Linked DNA regions of Neurospora crassa OR74A. Each later gene encodes a partner of the first gene's protein in a complex. Links are inferred from orthologs where the notes say so. Each region holds a gene or a part of one and is shown in the gene's direction. Other genes may lie near its edges.

Region 1 (6,587 bases):
AGTTCTCGGTTGGACATGATCATACCCGGTAGACTAGACTGGTTACAGCGAATACGACTTCGAAATGAGGATAACTTTCATGGAACATGCATGGTTCACCACACTTTATTATGCATTTACGGGAATGGAATAGCAATTGGCCATGAAAACAACTTTTATCGGAGATTTCGACAGGTTACTAGCATCTACTAAAGACTCATTCATCGGCGACGACTATCCATCAGCGAGCGATACACATGAGCTCATGAGAAAAAGGGGCAAAAACGGCTTGTCCTTCGAAACCCATCAATATTTGTTCATCAAGTCATCATAAAATCCCGTAGTCTAGTAAACTCCTGTTGGTATAACCTCCTTCCTTAAATTAATTTGTTCGTGGTATCGTTTATTTGAAGACCTTGCCGGAGGCGTGGGGGTACTCCTTGCCGTTGACAAGGGCGGGCTTGTCCCAGGACCACTCAGCCTCGACGAAAGCGCGATCCTCAGGGTTCTGGGGGTCGAGCTTGGTGAACTCGTAGCTCTCATAGTCGGGAGCAACGTCGAAGACGGGCTTCCAGTCATCGCCACGGATGACGAAGGCACCCTGAATGACGGAGTCGTTGTTGGTGCCATAGACGGAGGCGCAGCCGAAGAGGTACTTGCGAGAAGCCTCAAGACGGTTGTTGAAGCCACCAATCAGGTTGTTGGACATGAAGGTGAGGGTGAGCTCATCGTTGTACTTGTAGTTGACCTTCCAGATGGAGTACTCAGTGAAGGGAACGTTCTCCCAGAACCACTTGAGGGCCTCGGGGGTGTCAACGTTGGAGTACTGGCGCTTCCACTCGTCGAGGGGGAAAGAGGCACGGGGAAGGGCCTCAAGGGGGTGCTTGGGCTTGGGGGCCTCAGCGGGCTCCTCAGCGGCAGCGGCGGGAGCAGCAGCGGGCTTAGGGGCGGCGGGCTTGGGGGCCTCAGCCTTCTTGGGGGCGACGTTGGTCAACTTGGGGGTATCAAGGAGAGCGAAGGGAGGAGCAACGGCCGAGTAGATGGGCTGGTTGTAGACAGTGGTGTACCAACGGGTGACGTTGGGGTACTGCTCGCGCCAGGCCTTGTCGAAGAAGAACTCGAAGCCGCGGGCAATGATGCCAGTGGCGAAGAGATCGGCAAGGGTGATGCGCTCGCCAACGAGGAAGGTGTTGTTCTTGAGGTGGGCCTCGGCGACAGAGATGGCCTTGAGGGCAGTAGCCTGAGCGTCCTCAACAGCCTTCTTGTTGTAGGGAGCCTTGCCAAGGAGAGGGCGGTACCAGCCAGCAAGAGGGGGAAGGACCTCGGTGTTGAAGAAAGAGAGCCACTTCAGGATGGAGGCATAGCTGAACCACGCGTTAGCAAGTGATTGCACAGGTTTGGATGCTCGATCATAAACTTACTCCTGCTTGGTCTTGCCGAGGAGAGTGGTCTTCTCGTTCTGGGAAGCGACTGTTGTCCGTTAGCCATGACTGTCCAATCAAGATACGTGGCAATTGCAGGAGGACAAAGAGTGAGTTCGACAGTCAGAAGTTAGAACCAAGTCAACACCGTATTTCAGATAGGGATAACTGTTTGAAAAATGTCTCGGTCATCAGGTCGAAGGGGCAAGGGGTTGTGCGCTAGCACATCAGAGGGTATCTGGCGCAAAGTTGATGCGTGTTTCAAAGTGCGGGGCAGGGCAGTCTTGCTTGACGCCCAACATATTCTGTCAACGTACCATAGATGGCGATGGCGATGCACTCGAAGAGAGTGTAGCCGTCGGCACCAACGAAGGTGGGGACCTTGCCGAGAGGGTTGACCTTCTTGTACTCCTCGATGGCAGCCTCAAGGTCGACCTTGATAACCTCGAGGTCGAGGTTGTTGGCCTTCGCGACAGCCAAGATGGCCGTGGAGCGGGGGTTCGCCTAGTGAGCAGAATCTGTTAGAATGTCGGCGCTCGTCCGCAGGCGCCCGCCGTGTCAAGACGAGCGCCGCAATCTCTGAATTCTGCTCATCTTACCTCGTAGGTGTAAAGCTTTCCGAAGGCCATCTTTGATAATTTGATCAATGATGAGGAAAGATGGGTTTGGGAAGAAGAGGGGTGACGGGGAAGCAAATAAAAAGGGATCTGTGCGATGGATGATGTGGATGGGAAGACACAGAGGAAATTTTATCTGTGGTGGGGCATGCGCGCGGCCACGGCAGTGGCGGGGAAATTGCCTGGCTGCTGAGCCTGCATCCCGTTTTGGCGGCTGGGTTGCTTCCCCTCACATCAGAACCTCACAGCGCTGGAACTCGACAGAATGCATGAGAGAGCTCAGTACCTTAACCGCCCGCCGGCCCGTTGGCGGCTGTGGAAGGCTGCCCAGATGGGATTCCATTGATGGTACCTAGCGAGGTATGCTTTCGGCCAGTGATTCACACTTCCGCTGTCTGTGCTTTCAGTTCCCTCGTGCCATGCCTTGATGGCTGCCAGGCTTCCAGCCCATGGAAAACGGTGCCGCTTGATTGCCGGGCATCTTGTCTTATCTGCCTGCCGGGCGGAATGGTCCCCCTGTCGGGGCCGCATGCGTGGAGGGGAAGGTGACGGGAGCCCAGGTGAGGTCGGGTCCAGTGAGTGCGGTGCTTGAGTGGGAAGCATGGGTGGTCCGAGCTCCCATTTTCCGCTTGCCGGGTGGAAAAATCCTCTTGCGAATTGTTCCGCCGCGGGACGGCCCACGACGCGCAGACGGGACCCGGAGTCCGGACCTGATTGACCACTGCCCGCGCTGGACCTGCCCTCGCCCCCGACAGCCCCAAAGATACCCATCGGCGAGCCGACCACACCTCGACCCGAACCCCAATCCCACTCCTCTCCCGATCCAGTAGCCCTCGGGGCCCGATAATGTACGAGAGGTGAACAGCCGCTTATGAATGATGGCATCTCTTAGACACAGCATTACCAGTGCTCTTCGGAGCTCCCGCCAGGGCTGTTCCAAGTCGGCGCAATGGCAGTCGCTTGACCAGCAATTCGGCGCTTTGCGCATCAGCTCGAGGTCCCTGTCCACCCACGCCCACGACCACAACCCGAACGTAGATGGCCAATTCATCGCCGCCCCTGCGCTCAGCATAGACAACTTCAAACTCCATCCCTATGCCCGTGCCGTCCCCGTGTCGCCCTCGTACTTCACCCGGACGCCCCGGTTCTACGACAACTATCTTTCCCTAGAAAAGCTCATGGAGGAGTACGAAGACCTTCCTGTCATCCCCGCGACCGCCGTCGAGCGCGTGGCCTGGAAGACGCTCGAGGATATCAGGAAAGAGCTCGGCGAGCAGGTCAAGGCATCCGAGTTCGCAAGGTGTCTGGCTCTCGTCAAACGGCTCAACTCGATCCACCCCGACCTTAAGCCACAAGAGATCAAGGATGTGCTCGACAGCTTCAGGCGCAACGTACAACCCTTTACAAATGTCGCCAAGCCGATCCCGATTGACCAGTTTGGCCGCGCTTGTGGAGTCGGCAAGAGAAAGGCCTCGAGTGCTCGGGCCTTCGTGGTGGAGGGTACCGGCGAGGTTCTGGTCAACGGGAAGACCTTGGCCGAGTACTTTGGGCGGGTTCACGATCGCGAGAGCGCTGTTTGGGCTTTGCGCGCAACAAATCGCATTGACAAGTACAACGTCTGGGTCAAGGTGGAGGGTGGTGGTACCACGGGTCAGGCGGAGGCCATTACGCTGGCTATCGCAAAGGCCTTGCTGGCTCATGAGCCTGCTCTGAAGCCGGCGTTAAGAAGGGGTAAGCTTCGCACTACATTACACATGTTTTGGTTTTCTATGATTGTGCCTCGCCATACAGGCTTTCGCGGTATGGTAGGTAGGGATGATGCACCTTTGCTAACAAGTCCCTCTTTCTTTTACTGTAGCCGGATGTGTCACACGCGACCCGAGGAAGGTCGAAAGAAAGAAACACGGCCATGTCAAGGCCAGAAAGATGCCTACCTGGGTCAAGAGATAATCGCCCTCCTGCTACAGTTTGCGGTATTATTGGATGGGTTTCGTTTTTTGGGGGGGCATTGTGAATATGCTGCCTCAGTTTCGGTTTATGCACGAACGACCAGTCAAATGGAGCGATGCTTTTTTTCCCCACCAGCGCAGCATCACAGCTCCTTTCTTTCTGGGAAGCATTTTCTCTCATGTGCGTACTCTATATGTGGATATGCATGTGAGTGTCCGTCTCGCTTGTGGCCTCGCCTGGGCCTACCAAGTTCAGCACAGGTCGATCTCAGGCAAGCACGCGTGTACTTGTACAGGAGGGGTTCAACAAACCGTGTTAGGGGGGGGCCGGCACGACCTTGTTGTGTGTGTATAATACAATCTATGTGTGTGCTGGGGGGGTTACAACGGTTCTTTTTGCCATGGAAAAAAAAGGTATGCAAACCGATTCGACGCCCGGCCTCTTCAACCGGCATCACTGCAACTTTGACATGGGTTTTGCTTGTGATGGGTTGACTGATTCGTGCGACTACAAGTCATGAACCATCCGGGGGTTACATCCAATGTGTAAGAGGCATGCCGAACAACTCCCATCTCACAGATTAGGTGGGAACGATACGCACTGCAGGGCACACGTGGGTTAGCCGCGCTGTCAGAACCGCGTTTTCTGAACTTCAGATTCCGTTCCCGTGGCGGCAGAGTGCAATCCGTGTTCAGCATCCTCGCCCGAGGGCCCTGGGGGACTGTAAGGATCCTATATAAGATGGTGTTTGGTAACCATTTGTCATGCTTTATTATTGTCCCAAGTCCCACCATTCCCATTATGCTTGGCCCGTAATGAGGTCGGAATAGGTAGTCAGAGGTCCATACACTGCAGTGCTCACGTTCGCGTTCGTATATAAGTGACCTATGTAGTATGAGGTGGTCGAGAGTATGCTCCCTTTGACCTGGATTGTCATGGCAAAATCACCCAATTTGTGGATGTGATTGGTGCCAGATGAACGCATTGGGAGACTTCTGGCAGCTGATGAGACCTATGCGGTCCCGTCTCGTCTGAAATCACTACTTGATGGTGTCGATACATAACGATGGTTTTATGGAAGCTGCACAATATTTCTGCAATATGACTGGAGAGGTTGAGGATGAAGTCGTCAACAACCGGTCCACAGACACACACACACACACACACTTGGCTGTGGTGGTCTATCAGGTTGTTGTCAAGGACAAATATGCTTCTAGAAGCTGTTTCGAAGTCGGATGTGACATTTTATGGGTTTCGTCTTTTCCAATGACATTTTTAAGTGGACAATCTGTTTCTTGTCTAACTGTCATTGAGAGCATACAACCCAGGAGTTGTTGTTTCTCCTCATACATGCAATAGTCAGGATCGCTTCAGTGTGTTTTGATGACATGCTCAGTGACAATCCTGATCAACCCATTGTGTGGGCTGATAAATCTACGCTACCTCTACCCACACCGAAGACGTACCTTACATACAACTACGTCTTTGGTGACCCCGCTACGCCGCAAGGTAAAGGATGAAAAGTGCGAAGAAATCACGAATTGCTGGAGTCATTCATGATACTGTTTAGAAGGGAATGCCAAAATGCTTTTAGGAGTTTAGACGCGTAACCCAAGGCTTGGGTAACGGAGGAAATGAGGGCTGTTTTGTGATCCGTTATGCGAATGGCCGCTGTCCTGTAGGATAAAGTCCGGTCTCGTGCGCGCGTTCGCTACCAATCTCCCATGTTCGGGAAACAGCTGGATTTCGAATTTGAATTTGACGTTTGATGCTCTTGAATGCTCGAGACTAGTAACTAGCACCTCGATATGAGAGATTTAGGAATTGGTATATCGATTTAGTAACTTCAACTCATGTCCGATCTTGGCCTCAAGGCCGGGGGTGGCCCGTGCGACCAAGTATTTTGCAGCGACTTTGTGGGTACATATGTATCGTGGATTCAGTCAAGTCAGACAGTTGACTTATTAGCCTCGGTCCCGGGAGGGGGAAAACCAAACGATGCATCGATGGGCTGGTGTTACGCCGTATATCTTTAGATTATGCGAGTGTAAGCGCTTGAACTGCTGCTAAATGGAGTGCATGACCATTGTAATGACCCAAGGAAACGTAAGTGGATGCTGTCACGACGATGGACCTACACTACTGCATAGACGGATTATTTATCGTTCGAGCTGATAACTACCTCTAGGTACTAGCCAACAATTCGTCTTGTGAGTGGAAACGTAGTGGCTCGATTGCGACAGGTCACAACTAGTTAATGTGAGCGGAAACATCATGATTGTCAAAGGAATTGACTCAGTGAAGAAGGAACGGAGGGAATTTGGTGATGCCTTCTCGTAGAGGTCAGCGGCGTGGCAGATACGTGTAACTGTCCGAATTTCCAAACAGTTGTGAAGTTGGAGAAGTTGATCGGTTCATGATTTGAATTTGGCCGCTCTGTTCGATTGGCAATGGCGTTCGTACTGACTTGTACCATAAGCACAATCGGAACGGTATTTCGTTTGCCATGCCTGTGAAATCCAAATTCGAATCCGTAGGTGTTCAGTAAAACTCAATTGTCTAGAGCCCGGTCCAGCTATCGAGTAGTTGCCAACCGGAGCTTCCCCCCGTGTAATTTGGC
Region 2 (5,389 bases), on another chromosome or scaffold:
CACAATCACGTTTCCCCTTCTAAATGGGTGTAGCAACCCCGTCCTACTCATCCTTGTAGCCAGGAAGATTTTTACTCGACCCCTTGACTGATCTTTCTGCAAGGAACCACCAGTCTTGGGTTTCCAGAAGGTGTCTTAGGTCTCCTCCTCTGAGCCGGCATTGCCATCCGCCATCTTTTCTCTCTTGGCAATTTCCTTGACGAACTCCTCGTCGATACCCTCGCATTCATCCATCTTGGGAGGCTGGGCGTCTCTCTGGACTCTGACTTGGATCCTCTTGGTCTCTTCATGGTCTTGTTCCTCGATTCTCTTGGACCCCTTAGACTCATCGTTGTCGTCCTTATCCCATCCTGGCCATTTACCGTCATCCTCCTCTTCCTCAGGGAAGAAGATGTGAACTCTCTCATTAACGTAATCCTTGTCCAGGGCGACATCCTGCAGCCACTTCAAGACCGCTGAGCCGGCTTCTACGAGCACAAGCTCCATGACAAAGGCGTCCGGGCCGACACTGTAGGTAGGGCAACCGTAGCCGACGTAGCCGGTGACGGCGCGGCTACCGCCCTCAGGGCCAGCGATAAGGGTATCGAGGGGATCTTGATTCATGATGTAGGCACGCCCACGCTGTGTGAAAATTGCTTCGTTAGCTGGGTCATTTAAACTGGGTCAAAGGCCCAGCGAGAAGGAGAAGGCGCAACATACCTGATCCATGAACTTCTTGAAGCCCGGGCATTTTGCCTCACGCATATCGTAAAAGCCACCCAGCACAACAAGAGCGTTCAGCCTATGTCCGATCTTCGCCCAAACATCGTCATTGTCGAGATACTGCTCCACCTCGTCCGACATGTCACCAAGCGCGATGACATCGATCTTGGCCTTATCGTTGACGAACTGCGGCACCACCTTCTCAAAGATATACTTGAGGTGCTCCGTCGGATTGGCATTCTCCGAAATGCTGTTCCTCGCCGGATCGTGGTGCCAGCCCCAGTGAACCAGACTGCTACCCGGAATCTGATGACGAGCAAATTCACTCAGCCCTTTCTTCCCTTCAGGCCACCACCAGAGGTCACCGGGGTTGGCGAGAATGATACCAGGGGCAGCGTCGTCGGTGGCGGAAGACTTCTGCTGCTTGAGAGCCTTGACTATGTTCACCATCGAGCCCTTGTTGAGACCACCCTGTCCGCTAGCGACACGGTGTGCCAGAATGCCAAAGTCCTGGCAAGACTGGCCGAAGATGATCACGACGCGTGACTTGCTAGAGAGATCCTCGCTGAGACGGATCTTGGCGTGAGGTTCATCTTTGCTGGCAACCCCGAGCGGGAGGAGGACTTCCTTTAGACCCTCGGCTTCCAGCCGTGAGTCGATGATTTGGTTGACTGCCTCTGTTAGATTGCAACATTTGGGTCAGTATCAGCTCAAACTATTGTAAGAAATAGGGAGTTTGTTACATACGGTCGAATGCGAAGCGCTGGCAGTCGTTGTACCTCGTGTTCTTGGTCGAGAAATACTTGAAGTAGAAGTCGGGGTCATGCACGTAGCGAACTTCATCTTCCTCGTTGATGAAATAACTATACGCACAAGATATATCAGAGTGAGTGTCGTGGGAAGGATGACTAGGCAGATTATCACGAACCTGAGCTTCTTGAGATCTGGGGCGAACTTTGGTTCAGCCGGAAGGCCTGACCAACGGCGACGAAACATCTTGTATGTTGGAAAGTCGTCGAGTTTCCTGGGTGCGTTGTTGTGGAGGAGTCAAAAGACGGTTGCAAGCGAGAGGAAGGATAGCCTAGAACGCTGATCGCGTCGAGGAGTATTTAAACACTTCGTTGCTTGGAGGATCGCGAAGAAACTCGAAGGCCACGGAAGCGGTTGAAGATGGGACGGAAGGAGCCCAGCAGTTGTTCTTCCCTTCTCAGGCACAGAACGAGATAGGCGAAGTCGGAGTACGGAATGGGATGATACTAACGAGCGAACATGAGAAGGTAAACAGACAACGAACGAGACACTCGACTCCCTCTCCTCAGATGAATGGCCAAACCGCGATGACATTGCAACCGTCAAGGTGTTGACATACTGTAGGGTCTCTTGCCCATCTCATCCAGACCTTCCCCATCCCATCATAGAGATAACTTGCTTGACAAACAATTTTCATAGGAAACAGTCGCACACAAACCGAAAGCCGCTTCAACATGCAGGTGTTTCTTTTGGCAGGCTCAAGGTTGCTGCAAACGAGAGCAATCATCCGTAGACTGATAGAACGTATACTGCTAAACACCAGCGATCATCAAAGGCATTGGTAAAGGGTGCGTCGAACGTACGAAAGTGGTGGTGGATGTGGTTGTCACATGCGAACGGCAGGCATCAACCTTTGCAACCCGTGAACAACGTATTCGGTAAGGTACGGGTGAACTTAACACACTCGTTTCGCATACGACAACTACATCTTTGGTAGGTAGAATGATTCGAAAGGCACCACTCAGTCAACCCATCCAAAACAATCCTTCTTCCTCACACCCCCAGCCTGTAGCCAGAGATTGCAACGAAAAAGTGAAGATGAGCACAAAGCAAGTAGTAGTGTTGAGTTCGCGTCGCCTGGAGGCAGTGTAATACCAGGGACACAGTGGTCGGCAACCATAGGCAAGCCCAGAGGGATGCCGACCGAGTTGCAAAAATTAGAATAATCACGATTCTACTCCGTAGAGCAGTTTCAGAGATTAAACTGAAAAGAACAGATACTACACTTGATCTAAGCCAAAAGGCAAAGAGAGCTAAAGAAAAAAAGAAGAAAAAACCAGGTAAAAATTTGGGAGGGGGGGCCAGTCTTAAATAGGCCCAGATGTGGCCTGTGCACGAGCTGCAAGCTTGAGAGTTTGAGTGGAGCCCCGTAGAAAAAGTGCCGTCCAGCTGGTGTGCGACTGGCACACCTGGCAAAGTGTTTGTTGCTGCTTGGTTTGGCGCTTGCAACCTGCGATGAAAATGACACCGCCCGGCAGAATTTGTCGTTCCGCACGCGGCAGGGCTGGACGGCAAGCGCACAGGCCACTGGCCGCCGTGGGAGCCGGGGAGAGTGACTGCGGCTAGCGGGCGACGACGCCGGAGGGAAGCAACGACTGCAGTGCCTGTGACATCGATTTACGCGCCTCGATCCGCCGCTATCGACGCCCATCTCCGACTCAGCCCGCCAATCTGCCCCAGAACACCAAACCGCCAAAATGTCCATGTTTCGTGCCAAGAAGCTCGACCTCGGGTGCTTCACCAACGTCCGGGTCCTTCGTGACCACTCCAAGCGCAAGGCCTTTTTGGAGGCCGAGCCTGAGAGGTAACTACCTACGCCTTGCGATCCTTATTTGCGACTATAATAAGCACAAACGATCTGACGACTCCTTGCTTTATGATACAGACAAGCCCTGCGTTACGTTATTCGCAACACCACCCTCCCTGCCCGTACCAGGGCCGTCGCCCAGCTCCAGCTCACCCAGATGCATGCCTACACCAGGCCCACGCAGATCCGGAACCGCTGCATCCTTGGTGGAAAGAGTCGAGGTATCTTGAGGGACTTCAAGATGACAAGAGTATGTCGCTATCGATTGCTTCAAAGAAGGAGTGGTGTCCTAAGAGCTGAGCTCCGCATGGGAATGATGGAAACCTGCAAAGGCGCGCGACTTGCTAACACTGTTGGATCGCAAACAGTACAATTTCCGTATGAACGCCCTGATGGGTAACATTCCGGGTGTCAAGAAGGCCTCTTGGTAAAAGAGAGCATGGCTACAAGGAACCCAGAGGTTTGTTGTGGTTTGGAGATGGTGCCGGTACGCCCAGAGGCGAATAAACTCTGTTCAAAACCCAGATGGGCTCGGGCCATCGTGTTGGTAAGAAAGTATCACTGTACGCAGGGTTTTTGAGATACCCGTATAAGTAAGTGATCGCATGATGAGGAGTGCTTCAAAAGCTTTTCAGTGGGCAGAGGGAGTTTGTATGATGCATCCTTTTGGACATGGGAATCTCTCTCCCGATGCCCGCTGTGTAGAATTGTTGTTACAATATTATATTCAGACACGGCAAACGAATGAATGTCTTTTTCAAAGTAATCGAAAGAACCAATCTCCCCTAACGCCAAAACGCATGCAACCCCCAAGGTGCCTAATAACCGATCCGTCATCCGTCTGTTATTTTGCCCGCCACAGGATAGCTGTGAAAGCCTAGATCCCGATTATAAATGTTGAAACACGCTCCGCAAACCACATCTAGCATAAGCTGCCTCAAGAGGACTGGACGCTAGTCGCCTCCTCGGCGGCAACCGCCTGACCAAGAGCCTCAGAGACAACCTTCTCGCCAGAGCGCTTTCTCAAGACGTTCTCGATGAAAGCCTCGCCGGCCTTGTATGAAGAACGGACCAGAGGACCACTAGCGCAGTACAGGAAGCCCATGTCAAGCGCACGCTGCCTCCAGAGCTCAAACTCGTCGGGAGTGATGTACTTCTCGACCGCGAGATGTCTCTTGGTTGGGCGCATGTACTGTCCAAAGGTAACGACATCGACGTCGACCTTCCTCAATTCTACAAAGCAACATCATGGTCAGCATCCATCAAATGGGCAAGCGCAATTGGTATGACTTACCCCTCAAAGCCTCCCAGAGCTCCTCCTCAGTCTCACCCAGACCAAGCATGATGCTGGTCTTGGTGATAATGCCTTCCTTGCCCCGGACCTTCTTGACGTGTTCCAACACCTTCAAACTCTGGCGAAATGTGGCACGGCGATCACGCACGTAAGGCGTCAAGTTCTCAACAGTCTCAACGTTATGCGCATACACATCCAGTCCGCTCTCCGCCACAATCTTAACCATGTCCAAGTCACCAGCAAAGTCACCGGTCAAGGCCTCGACAAGCAGGGTCGGCTTCTTCTGCTTGATCCGGCGAATCGTCTCTGCAAAGTGTCGGGCACCACCATCGGCCAGATCGTCACGGTCGACACTCGTCAGCACAACATAACCGAGACCCCAGCGGGCCAAAGCCTCAGCGGTGTTCTCGGGCTCGTGAGGATCCAGCGGAGGCGGCTTGCGGCTTGTCTTGACGCTGCAGAAGCGGCAGCCACGTGTGCAGGTGTCGCCCATAAGCATGATGGTGGCCGTCGCGGCGGCCTTGTTAGAACCGCCCCAGCATTCGCCGATATTGGGACACCTAGCTTCCTCGCATACTGTGTGAAGATTGAGACCACGCAGGTCGGCCTTGATCTTGGCAAATTCGGGGTTCGCGCCAGCACTTGGGATGGGTGTCTTGAGCCATTCAGGCAAGCGGGTGATGGTACGCTTCTTGCCGGCGGGTCCGACTTCGGCTGTGCGCAGGGTGTAAGCTTCGCTGGGTGCGAGAGGAGCGGCTGACGATTGGTTTGCGATA

The links.
Region 2: NCU03827 (region 1) and NCU00564 share a complex: the UniProt entries of both Saccharomyces cerevisiae proteins name them as parts of the mitochondrial small ribosomal subunit. The link is inferred for Neurospora crassa OR74A from reciprocal best matches to the Saccharomyces cerevisiae genes MRPS9 and MRP2.

The regions. Positions count from the first base shown.
Region 1 is NC_026505.1:2,535,338-2,541,924, forward strand, and holds NCU03827 (mitochondrial 37S ribosomal protein MRPS9), read left to right. Parts: upstream 1-2,260; 5' UTR 2,261-2,892; coding exon 2,893-3,748; intron 3,749-3,875; coding exon 3,876-3,967; 3' UTR 3,968-4,830; downstream 4,831-6,587. Other genes in the region: NCU03826 (elongation factor 1 gamma domain-containing protein), read right to left, coding at 383-1,343, 1,401-1,449, 1,718-1,904, 2,000-2,029. UniProt on the Saccharomyces cerevisiae protein: Component of the mitochondrial ribosome (mitoribosome), a dedicated translation machinery responsible for the synthesis of mitochondrial genome-encoded proteins, including at least some of the essential transmembrane subunits of the mitochondrial respiratory chain.
Region 2 is NC_026501.1:7,985,806-7,991,194, reverse strand, and holds NCU00564 (mitochondrial 37S ribosomal protein MRP2), read left to right. Parts: upstream 1-3,004; 5' UTR 3,005-3,209; coding exon 3,210-3,316; intron 3,317-3,397; coding exon 3,398-3,569; intron 3,570-3,687; coding exon 3,688-3,750; 3' UTR 3,751-4,106; downstream 4,107-5,389. Other genes in the region: NCU00563 (hypothetical protein), read right to left, coding at 136-621, 700-1,379, 1,450-1,565, 1,631-1,698; NCU00565 (lipoic acid synthetase), read right to left, coding at 4,257-4,552, 4,614-5,389. UniProt on the Saccharomyces cerevisiae protein: Component of the mitochondrial ribosome (mitoribosome), a dedicated translation machinery responsible for the synthesis of mitochondrial genome-encoded proteins, including at least some of the essential transmembrane subunits of the mitochondrial respiratory chain.